Linked DNA regions of Callithrix jacchus. The protein of the gene in region 1 purifies or fractionates together with the protein of each later gene. This does not show direct contact. Links are inferred from orthologs where the notes say so. Each region holds a gene or a part of one and is shown on either strand. Other genes may lie near its edges.

The links. Proteins that work in one complex are often made in the same cells at the same time.
Region 2: the proteins of AP3M1 (region 1) and RABL6 purify together in Homo sapiens (co-immunoprecipitation; 3 studies listed by BioGRID and IntAct, counting the BioPlex papers as one, with this or other methods). This does not show direct contact. The link is inferred for Callithrix jacchus from reciprocal best matches to the Homo sapiens genes AP3M1 and RABL6.

What each region holds. Positions count from the first base shown.
Region 1 is NC_133513.1:56,072,318-56,078,366, forward strand, and holds part of AP3M1 (AP-3 complex subunit mu-1), read left to right. Parts: intron 1-462; coding exon 463-738; intron 739-2,033; coding exon 2,034-2,205; intron 2,206-5,265; coding exon 5,266-5,403; intron 5,404-6,049. UniProt on the Homo sapiens protein: Part of the AP-3 complex, an adaptor-related complex which is not clathrin-associated. The complex is associated with the Golgi region as well as more peripheral structures.
Region 2 is NC_133502.1:185,266,636-185,272,684, reverse strand, and holds part of RABL6 (rab-like protein 6), read right to left. Parts: intron 5,717-6,049; exon of another isoform or gene 5,017-5,716; intron 4,500-5,016; coding exon 4,359-4,499; intron 4,010-4,358; coding exon 3,901-4,009; intron 2,905-3,900; coding exon 2,836-2,904; intron 903-2,835; coding exon 799-902; intron 1-798. UniProt on the Homo sapiens protein: May enhance cellular proliferation. May reduce growth inhibitory activity of CDKN2A.

The DNA.
Region 1 (6,049 bases):
TAATTTTTGTATTTTTTATAAAAATGGTGTTTTGCCCTGTTGCCCAGGCTGGTTTCAAATTCCTGAGCTCAGGCAATCCACCTACCTCAGCCTCCCAAAGTGCTGGGATTCCAGGCATGTGCCACCATGCCTGGCTGAGAAAGTTTCTTTCTGTTCTTAGTAGCTTTTTTTTTTTTTTTTCATAAAGTTATGTTGGATTTTGTCAAATGCAATTTCTGCACCTTTTGAAATGATTGTTTTAGTTCTTTATCTAATTGTGTATTATGTTGATTAATTTTGTATGTTGAACCAACCTTGCATTCTTGGAATAAATCCCACTTGGTCAAAGTATAATCTTTTTGTGTATGTTAAGTGATATTGGTCTGTAGTTTCTTATATTATCTTTGTCTGGCTTTGGTGTCAGGGCAATACAGGGATATGTTTTAATATGTAATAAATTTAAACCTTTCTTGTCCCCAACAGAAAATGATCCACAGTCTATTTCTCATCAACTGTTCCGGTGACATATTTCTAGAGAAGCACTGGAAGAGCGTTGTGAGCCAGTCTGTCTGTGATTATTTCTTTGAAGCTCAGGAGAAAGCTGCTGATGTTGAAAATGTACCACCTGTCATTTCAACACCTCACCACTACCTCATCAGTATCTACCGGGATAAGCTCTTCTTTGTATCTGTCATACAGACTGAAGTGCCACCTCTGTTTGTAATTGAGTTCCTACATCGAGTTGCTGACACTTTCCAGGTTGGTTATCTATCACACCTTTCTAACTTAAATTACCCAAGTTAGTTGGAGGTGAGACATGATTATATTATTTAATTACCCAGGTTTTGGTGTTTACTGTCTCTCTGTAACTAAGCATAAATTTATAAACCCATTTCTATGTGGTAGACAATGGCACACATGGCTGCTCTATTAATGATTTTTTTATGTATTTCAAATTACAGTTGACTCTCCATATATGTGGGTTCTGCATCCATGAATTCACCCAACTTTACATGGAAAATATTTAAACAAAAAAAATGGAACTGAACATGTACAGACTTTTCCTCATTATTACTTAAACAATACAGTATAACAACTAGTTACATAGCATTTACATTGTATTAGATATTACAAGTAATCTAGAGGTGATTTAAAGCATATAGGAGGATGTGTATAAGTTGTGTATAAATAGTATGCCATTTTATGTCAGGGACTTGAGAATTGTGAGTTTTGGTATCCACAGGGGATCCTAGAACTAATTCCCCACACATACCAAGGAATGACTGTATATGATCAGGAAACAATAAAGCCCTCCACATAGAGTTTTCTGAATGGTCTCAAGATTTTCATTGGTAATGAATTCTTCTATATTTACATTTTATTATTTTCTCTTGTCTTGCTGAATATACCAAATAATTTAAGCATTTCCATATGTATTTTGGGATAATCAAGATGAAGTTTATAGCTCACATTCCAGTTTAATGTTTCAATATTTTCTGGTATAAAATGAATTGAATTAAATTCAATCTAAAAATACTAAGAAAATATTGAGGAATAATGTTAGGACTATAGAGAGATTTTTTTTGGTTTGCTTGTTTTGTTTTGTTTTTGAGACAGAGTCTCACTCTGTCATCCAGGCTAGATCTCTCTGCCCAGTGGAGATGATCTTAGCAGCTCATTGCAACCTCCACCTCTTGGGTTCAAGCAATCCTTCCACCTCAGCCTCCTGAGTAACTGGGATTACAGGCATGTGTCACTATGCTCAGTAGATTTTTGTATTTTTAGTAGAGACGGGGTTTCGTGGTGTTGGCCAGGCTGGTCTCAAACTTCTGACCTCAAGTAATCTACCTGCCTCAGCCTCCCAAAGTGCTGAAATTGCAGGCATGAGCCACAGTGCCTGACCTATAGAGGGTTTCCCCCACTCTGTTTTACATATGTTCAGCATCTTAAGCGATGAATTTTGCTACTGTAAGTTTATTCTTCAGAACAAAAAGTATTTAGAAAGCCTTTCTTTGTGCCTTCCCTTGTGTGATATTTTGTGTGTATTTTGTAAGGACTACTTTGGTGAGTGTTCAGAGGCTGCAATTAAGGATAATGTGGTCATAGTATATGAACTCTTGGAAGAAATGTTAGACAATGGATTTCCACTGGCTACCGAATCCAACATTTTGAAAGAATTGATTAAACCACCAACAATTTTACGCTCGGTGGTCAACTCTATTACAGGTAAGATGAAAACATACTTGACTAGTAACTGAGCTATTAAAACTTTGTAAACAACTCATTGTTGCTCATGATCTGACATATTATTAAAGTAGTCCAGTTCGGCCAGAATTAAAGTTACTGGTAAAGTTAAAATGGATGTACTATATATTTATATTCATGGAAAGAGGCTTAAGTGATAAAAGAACTTTTGGTTATTACTCTTTTTTGTTTTGTTTTGTTTTTTCTTAAAAAACCACAACAATATTATTAGTATCATTTAACACTAAATACTAAGACTGAATAAATTATTCCACTTAGTCTTAAAGAAGCCAGTATATGAGCCCACTTAGAAGAGCATTTAGTCCATTTATAGACTGGCATTTCAGTATTTAAAATAGCATTACATAACTGTTATGCTGCTACTCCACAATTACTAGAGAACAGAAGATTTAAGATTCTTACCTACACAGTATGTGTGTACAGTGTCCTTCAAGTCTTTGTTTTTATGCATGCAGAAGATGTATTAAGAAAAAATAGGAAAATAGTTTACTTATGAGATATCATGCATTGTGGGCCTGTACTTGTGTTGTAAGCTTCCAGTTGCATTTAATTCTTAAGGGTAGCTAGAAGTTAGGCACATCCAGATGCCAATATTCTTTCGAAAGCATTAAAGTCTTTTAGAGAAAGATTCCTATGAAATGTTATATGCCACTCCAACTCCACTGCCCACCATTGAAAACCCGTCTCCAGTGCCTTGACCTAAAACTGATGTGAGAGAGGCCTATAAGAAAAAGATCATTCAGCAGCTCTTTAATCATCCTCTGTATAAGGGGGAGTGTTAGGACAAACTGAAAGAAAGGTAAGGTAGAGTGTCTGTGCTCCTTAAACTTATACTCTAAATGGGATTTGGAAAAAAATTAAAATTAGCAAATAACTATAAAATTTTAAAAAGCAATTACATACTTCACAGATAATATAGTAACATTGGAAAATACACATGATATAATGTTAAATTGAAGTCAGCACAAACTGAAAAAAATTATTTTTAGTTATATTCACTAAAAACATTCCAAATATTTATTTTATTTATTTATTTTTTTTGAGACGGAGTTTTCACTCTTGTTACCCAGGCTGGAGTGCAATGGCGCAATCTCAGCTCACCACAACCTCCACCTCCTGGGTTCAGGCAATGCTTCTGCCTCAGCCTCCTGAGTAGCTGGGATTACAGGCACGTGCCACCATGCCCAGCTAATTTTTTGTATTTTTAGTAGAGACGGGGTTTCACCATGTTGACCAGGATGGTCTCCATCTCTTGACCTCGGGATCCACCCGCCTCAGCCTCCCAAAGTGCTGGGATTACAAATGATTATGCCAGCCAAAAAAATACAGATTATCTTTATTTTTGCTTTATGATTTAATTTTCCAAAATAAACATGTATAGTCAGAGGAAAGTTACTAAAATATAGAATGCAAAACTTAACATAGATTCATAAGGCAGTATATTATGAAGTTCAAGAGAATGGTTCAGTTAATGAAGTAATCCCTCCTGAACTGTGGTGGGTAGCCACCTTAGAGAATCAGTAGAATTGAGGAAGTGGAGTAGGAATAAGAGCATTCTCCATAGACGTAACTGTATTTGAAAAAACACACATGAAGTGAAAAACCTCAAGTTTTATTAATCTCTTTAGCAGAAGCAGAGCTGTTTTTCAGTTGAGAAGTTAGAGATCAAACTAAAAGTTGAGAAACTCCTTCAATGCTAGGCTAAATATTTAGCTTTTATCATAAAGCCAATGAGCAAACATTGAAGGTTTTTGAGCAGGAAGACAACATCATTATAGGTTGCAGGTAGGAACACCAATCATAACTAGACTGCAAAATTGTAGATAAAGTATGATTGTGACTATATTTTAAAGTGCAATTAAAAACTAAAATTATCAAAATAGAAAAAAAATGCAACCTTCTGGTGGTGGAAATGTTTAAAGAAATATACCAAAATGTTAATGTTATATTGAAATATTAATACCGTAATATTAACCAAAATGGGGCCAGGCGCGGTGGCTCAAGCCTGTAATCCTAGCACTTTGGGAGGCCGAGGCGGGTGGATCACGAGGTCAAGAGATCGAGACCATCCTGGTCAACATGGTGAAACCCCATCTCTACTAAAAATACAAAAAATTAGCTGGGCATGGTGGCGCGTGCCTGTAATCCCAGCTACTCAGGAGGCTGAGGCAGGAGAATTGCCTGAACCCAGGAGGCGGAGGTTGCGGTGAGCCGAGATTGCGCCATTGCACTCCAGCCTGGGTAACAAGAGCAAAACTCCGTCTCGGGAAAAAAAAAAATATATTAACCAAAATGTTAATGGTAGTTGTATTTTGTTAGTAAGAAGACAGATGTTTTTCTTTAAACCATCTTTCTGAATTCCACCTTTTTGTTTTGTTAAGTATGTGGTACTTTTGAACTGGCAATATAAATTAACCAAAATGTTAAGTAAGTCACAGCTCAAAGATACATGTTTTGGACAACCAGACTTATTTTTAGACATGTGTCAGTTTACCAGGAAATTAGCCAGACACTGAACACTAGCTATATTGCAGCCATATGGGTATGCTGACCTTAAAATGGGAAAAGGCCAGATTCCATTTACTCCACTGAGGCCTGCTTGGCAGCATCTCGTGTAAAATAAAGTTGAATACTGAAGGGCCTAGTTATAACTCTGTATTCTCAGTGGAGACATTTTACTGGCAGAAGGTTTTGAAACAACCAGCCTCTTTTTTCATCAGTGGCAGAGATTCTGCTGTTGAGCCACTGAAATTAGATTAGGTTACTGTTAACACAGGAGGCAAAAGATAAGTAAATAAATTTAACCTGATTTGGCAGGTAGACAGAGGGCTACATGGCCTATTTTTCTCTTCTAGAAATTTGATCATGTTGGTATGGGTATATCTGACAATTCTAGAGACCATCCACAACTTTATTAAGAAAAATCCAAACACTGAAGAAGCAGCTTTTTCTTCCCCAGTAATGAATTTTCTGATGACTGTTTCACACATCAGCTTTGCTTTCTCCTTTTTTGGTTTCTAGGCAGTAGTAATGTTGGGGACACACTCCCCACTGGGCAGCTGTCCAACATTCCATGGCGCCGGGCAGGGGTAAAGTACACAAACAATGAAGCCTATTTTGATGTCGTTGAAGAAATAGATGCAATTATAGATAAATCAGGTAACTGTGTGCATGTGGTCTTATTTGGGGAAAAATAATTCAGTTGACACAGATGAATAGAAAATTAAAGTCCTGGCTGGCACAGTGGCTTACCCTGTAATCCTAGCACTTTGGGAGGCCGAAGCAGGCAAAACACGAGGTCAAGAATTTGAGACCAACCAGGCCAACATGGCGAACCCCTGTCTCTACTAAAGATACAAAAATAGCTGTGTGTGGTGGCATGTGCCTGTAATCCCAGCTATTCAGGAAGCTGAACCTAGGAGGCAGAGGTTGCAGTGAGCCGAGATCACACTGTTGCATTCCACCCTGACTCTATCTCAAAAAAAAACCAAAAAATCTAGTCCTTCCCTTACATTTATTTTGTACATAAGGAAACTAACGAAGCCAAGGCTCAGAAGGGTTAAGTGAACTGTTGCAGGTCACAACTTGTTAATATGTAATGATGACTTATTCTGAATTATAGTCAATATCTTCTCTTCCAGGAGTGCCCTTTTCATTATAACATTCCATCTTTATAGAATAATAGATTTTTGCCAGGCACAGTGGCTCACACCTATAATCCCAGCACTTTGGAAGGCTGAGGCAGGAAGATCACTTGAGATTAGGAGTTCAAGACCAGCGTAGACAACATAGTGAGACCGCATAG
Region 2 (6,049 bases), on another chromosome or scaffold:
AGTTGATGCAGCGTCCAGCTTGCCCAACTCAGTCCCTGGAAATCCCAGCTTGGTTCTGCAGAGAAACGCCCGTGTGAGGGGCTCCTTTCTGGGGCCGCCCTGGCAGCCAGAAGCCACGGGTCCCTCTAGGCATCACATCGCCTTCTCAGTCTGCTGCTGTGTCCAGAGCAATCTGCTCTGTCCAACAGCCAGATCCAAGGTGACCCACGGGTTCTCCCTCTGGAAATAAAGATCTGCTGGGGAACTCAGGAGGGGCTGTTTCAGTGTCCCTAGCTGGGTCCCAGGGAGGCTCCAAGTCCCTAGCTGTGCAGGAGCCTGAGGCAGAGGATGGGTCGGCCTTCCCACCACCGGCAACCCTGGGGCTGCCTATGCTGCCCATGCCCACTCAGGAGGATGCTGAGCCACCCACTCCTATCAAGGACCAGAGGCCTGTATGTCCTGACCCATATGCCTCTTCAGCACAAGGAGCTCCTTAGAAAGCACACACCACGCTGGTTGTCAGTCTGGGAAGCCGAGCTCCTAAGGAGCAGGCAGCCCCCAGCACCAGTGCCTGGCCAGTCGGTGGCACTCAGAGCAGCAGACATGGCATGACTTGCACACACAGTCCATGTCAGGTGGGACTCTGATGGGGCTCCTGGGGGCAGTGCCAGCCTGAGCCCTCCTCCACCTGTGCCCCAAGATGACTGATTTACCCCAAACAGGGCACTCCCCTCTGCTGTCCTGGAGCAGGCCAGGCCTGGCACCATGTCTATGCCTGCAGCCCTCACACTGCCCCCACCGTTGGGCCCAGCCACGCACATGCTGTAATTCTGGTCCTCCGTCTCCTGCTGCACCGACAGCTCCTCTAGTGTGGCGTCCATGTCCAGCTGGTTTGTCTCCAGCTGCCGCAGCAGCGTCTCCCTCTGCAGAAGAGAAGCACATAGGCCTGAGCAGGGACCCTTCCTGATGTGAGCACCCCAGCCCGACAGCAGCCGAAGGCATCGGGGGCACCACCTGCTGAAACCAGGAGATGGGGCAGGGCTGGCTGCTCAGCACCTCATGGAGCTCTGAGCTGGGCCTCACTGGAACCACAGAAGCCCGCAGGACTCCTTCACAGTGGCCAGCATGACACCTATGCTACCTCAGGGCACAGATGCCAACCACAGGCACAAACCCCAACAGAAGCACCTTTACCCATACATGTGCTTGCGAGGGTGCAGAAGCCCCACCTTCACCTGGAAAACAGCCTCTCTGCTCCCAGATTCGCAAATCTCCTCTGGGGGCAGGACTTAGCCCCGGCGTCCGTGCCATCACCCCCACTCCCACCAGCAGCTGGGCTGTGCAGCAAACCACAGCCCACCTGGCCTGGAACCCCAGGCCGGTCTGATGAGCTGTGGGTTCACGTTGCTGCTAACTTTAGATTCAAATTAAATAAACACCTGCAACAGCCACATCTCAAGCACCTGAGTCCCACGCAGGAGGCACCTGGGGACTGAACAGGGCTGTGTCTTCTTGTGGCCATGGAAGGTCTGCTGGCTGGACACCAGGGAGCATATACGACAGAGCAAATCAACTAGACAGAAAAAGCAGGTGCATCTGCAGGCTAAGAGAGACTTGAGATGGTGTGGGTTTTATTTTATTCAGACAGGGTCTCATGCCATCACCCAGGCTGGAATGCAGTGGCATGATGTGGGCTCCCCACAGCCTGAACCTCCTGGGTTCCCTTCCCTACCTCAGCTTCCAGAGTAGCTGGGACCACATGAATGTGTCACCATGCCTGGCTAATATTTTTTTTTATTTTTAAAGACTGGGGTTTCACCGTATTGGTCAGGCTGGTCTCAAACTCCTGCCCTCAGGTGATCCGCCCGCCTCAGCCTCCCAAAGTGCTGGGATTACAGATGTGAGCCACCACCCCCGGACATGCCTGGCTAATTTTTAAAAATGTTTTGTAGTTTGCCAGGCATGGTGTTATGCCTGTAACCTCAGCACTTTGGGAGGCTGAGGCGGGCAGATCACGAGGTTAGGAGTTTGAAACTAGACTAACATGGAGAAACCCTGTCTCTACTGAAAATACAAAAATTAGCCAAGTGTGGTGGCACACGCCTGTGGTCCCAGCTACTCAGGAGGCTGAGTCAGGAGAATCGCTTGGGGCCTGGGAGACAGAGGTTGCGGTTAGCTGAGATCGCACCACTGCACTCCAGCCTGGGCAACAGAGCGAGACTCTGTCTCAAACAAAAAAAAGATATTAAAGTCAGTAAGATCCCTAAAAATGGCTACTATAACAAAAATGTGATTTACAAAGAGAAAACTACAGACTCGTCAACCAACTGTAACTAACGTGTGAACTCTGGATCCTGCTCTGAATACTGAACTCTTTGGGAATTTTATTTCTCTAAGAAAAGTCTTCTGTGACTTGAATGTGAGGTGTTAAATTAGGCACTATGGTCAGGTTAAAAAAAGAGAACAGTTTTTAGAGATGTTTGAAATATTTTTAGGTGACATAAGACTTGAAATTTGCTTCCAGGCCATTCAGGAGCAAGACAGAGGAAACGGGGTCCCGCTGCTGAGACCGGAGGGGCTGTCACATGTGTATGAACACATCCACAGCAAAAGGACAGTCACACAGCTTGCCCTACGCTTCCAGCTCAAGACTCTGTCCAGGGTCTCGTTCTCTCCCTCAGAGGCTTTGGAAGTGTTTGGAGGGCAAACCCTTTAGGGAATGGAGCAGCTGAGCAGTGAGAGGCTCTCTAAGGCGTAACCACCCACTGACGAGGGGACAGCTCTGCAGTGCTGACACCGGGTAAGCCTGACTGCCGGCCTTCCTTCCACCCAAACGTCCCCAGAAGCATTCCCAACCTGCAGTGTCCCCACTTCTTCTGACACCGGAAGGATAGCACAGCCCCTTTCCTGGGCAATCATGAAGTCCTGGAGAAAGACCAAGTCTGCTGCAGCTTCGGCTGGGTCCCATGTCCCCCATACCCAGTCAGGGCAGGCCAGGGCGAGGAGGTCCAGGTCCCCCAGACCCAGTTGGGGCAGGCCAGGGTGAGAAGGTCCAAGTCCTCAGACCCATCGTTTGCTGGGCTACTTTGCAGCCAGAGCTGGCCTTGGCCCCTTGTTTCCACGAGGGAAATGGAGTTTAGTCTATAGACCAAAGTTGGCCCCTTGGTTTTGACACAAGCACCACGGAAATGTGAGCTGTGGGGCAGGCGTGGTGGCTCAATCCTATAATCCTAGCACTTTGGGAGGCTGAGGTGGGCGGATCACAAGGTCAAGAGAGCGAGATCATCCTGGCCAACATAGTGAAACCCCGTCTCTACTAAACATACAAAAATTAGCCGGGCCTGTGGTCTCAGCTACTTGGGAGGCTGAGGTGGAAGAATTGTTTGCAACCAGGAAGTGGAGGTTGCAGCGAGCCGAGATTGCGCCACTGCACTCCAGCCTGGCAACAGAGCAAGACTCCATCTCAAAAAAAACAAATTAATTAAAACAAAATTTAAAGAGGAAATGTGAGCTGTGAGCAGCAAGGAAAGGTGAGCTCAGCACCTTGGGAGACTGAGGTGGGAGAATAGCTTGTGCCCAGGAGTTGAGGCTGCAGTGAGCCACGACTGCACCACTGCACGCCGGCCTGGGCCACACAGCAAAACCTTATCTCAACACACAAAAATGACCAAAACCACAGAGGGAAACTGAGCAAGGGGTCCCTGCAGAGGTGGAGGGGCTTCTGGGATGGGGCCCAGCCCTCAGGACCTGCACCGTCTGCCACCTGGGCAGGCAGGCACAGTAGGATGCTGGGCCCTGACCAGCAGCTAACCCAAGCAGGCCCACCGATCTCTTGGGTGAGGAGGGAGCCCTGTTGCTATAGGAGACACAGCAGGAAGAGGCAAGACCAGTGCCCACTCTGCCTGCATGGTGAGTGCTTACCTGAAGCTGCAAGAAGGGGATGTTGAAGAACTTATGAAGGTACTTTAGGCCAAAGCTGTTCTTCATGGAAGACTCAGCGTAGCGGAAGTAGGAGGAACCTGGAGGTCTACTTTCAGGAAGGAAGACACATGCAAGAGAAACCTTGCCCCCCGTGCCAAGGACCACCCCTGGGCCCACAGCTGCTGGTCTGCACTGCCCTCCCTCCTCCTGGAGGCTCCTGAGGCCACAGGACCCTGCTGAGCCTCCTGAGCAGCTAAGCTGAGTGCCATTCTGCAGGGGAACCCCAGTACCAGCACCTCACCCTGGCAGAGTTCCCAGGCACTGCTGTCTGGGAGACCCAGGCTTCAGGGAGCCCCACGCAGCAGCGCAACTCTTCATGTCCCCCAGCCCCCATGATAACGCTAACATCTCCCAAGCCCCTCCCAAGGCTTCTGCCTCAGCACCTCCCCTACGCTCACCTGTCCAGGTTGTCAATGAAGTCACGCACGTCGTCTGGTAGGATGACTCGGTGCTCGCCCATGTCCCGGTAGTTCCCCAGCACACACACCGGCACGTGGGTGGGCACTTTTGGAAGCTCCCGGAGAATGTAATTGAAGGTCCTTGGAGAACAGGTGAGGACCTGGCTTAGTTTCAGCCCCTCGACGCCCTGTCCCTCCCTGGGAAGCTGCTGTGCGTGCAGGCCTCAAGATGGCAGCTGCTTTTCATTCCTAACACCTGACCAGCAGGAGCAGGCTGCATGCCTGCAGAGCTAGAGGAAGTGCTGTGGGTGCCTCTGCACCCTCCCAGCCTACAGCCCTGCCCATCTCTGCTCCTTGAACATACACTGGACAGCGCTCCACAGAGGAGCACCCCCACACTGTCCCTGCCCATCCTCTCCCAGATGGCACGCACTTGACTGCACCCACAAAGGAGCACCCCTGCCTTACCTGGAGCACCCTATGTCTGCATCCTTATAAAATCGCCTCAGGCTTCGCCTGCATCCACCCTCATCCTGCCCTGTCCCGTGTGCCCCTCGGCATCAGCCCAGCCCCGTGGCTGCTCCTCCAGGGTCCCTGCCCACCAGGGTGGCTGAGGACAGCAGCCCGGGGTGCCCCTGCTGTGGCCAGTCAAGCAGGCTTTTTTTCCCCCCACAAAAAGCAACAAGTTTATTAACATCACGTATTCTAATATGTATCCAAGTTTCAAGCACATCATTTTGAACCTCAAACAAGAAATCACAGTATTTACTATAATTAAAAAGGAAAGAAAGGAAAAGGTGGTAGTTGTCAATCATGGGTTTTAGTCCAAAATGAAAAGGTAGAAAACATTTATTTTGGTGGATCTGCATTGATGCCATATTTCTCTTTGAGAAGCTTCAGCTGTCCCTCCTCCTTTGCGTCCATCTTCTGAAATGCCCTGTTGGCATCATAGCACAAAATCACAAGGCATCTGCTCAAACACTGAATCCCCAGAGGCGATCACACGCACTCCTGGCATCAAAGATGTCCTCACAGACCATATAAACTGTTCCTCTGGTTTCAGGTGTGCTCCCCACTCTGATTTGACGCATAGGTCCTTATTTCCCAAATACATTCAACGTTTCTTCAGCTGTGATTCTGTGCGGCAAATTTCTTATGTACAATATCCGACTTACTTCAGGTGGAGTTGAATGTTCGCCCTCTTGGCCGCTTGCACGGCCATCTTGGTGAGCTGACGAGGTTACACAGCAAATACTGAAATTCCTCCGGACACCTCCGGAGCTGGCTTGGCTTCAGGCGCTACACCGTGTTAGATGCAGGACATCCATATCCAGGCTCTGCCTGAAGCTGTAACAGCACCCCGGAATAGAGTTGTCTAAGCGGACTGTTTGAGAGCCTTGTCTTTGGCAGACATGTCCCAGCACGGACGGCAAATCTCTAGAATCTGCCTGGTGTGAGCTGCCAGTCTCAACTGCATGGTTTTCCAAATGGCTTGTGAAGAAATTACTAGTGCTTCAAGTGACAAAACTTCCCCACAACTGACAGAAGCCAACACAAGTGGGTGAAAAACGCAATGTCCTGTGTTTCTAACTTGATTTTCTTTTATTCACAGTCATTTAAACTGGTCCCCTCACCAAGGCTGGCCCAGGGGCACCTCCAGCCTCCTCAGCAGGCCCCCTCTGTCCTCTGGC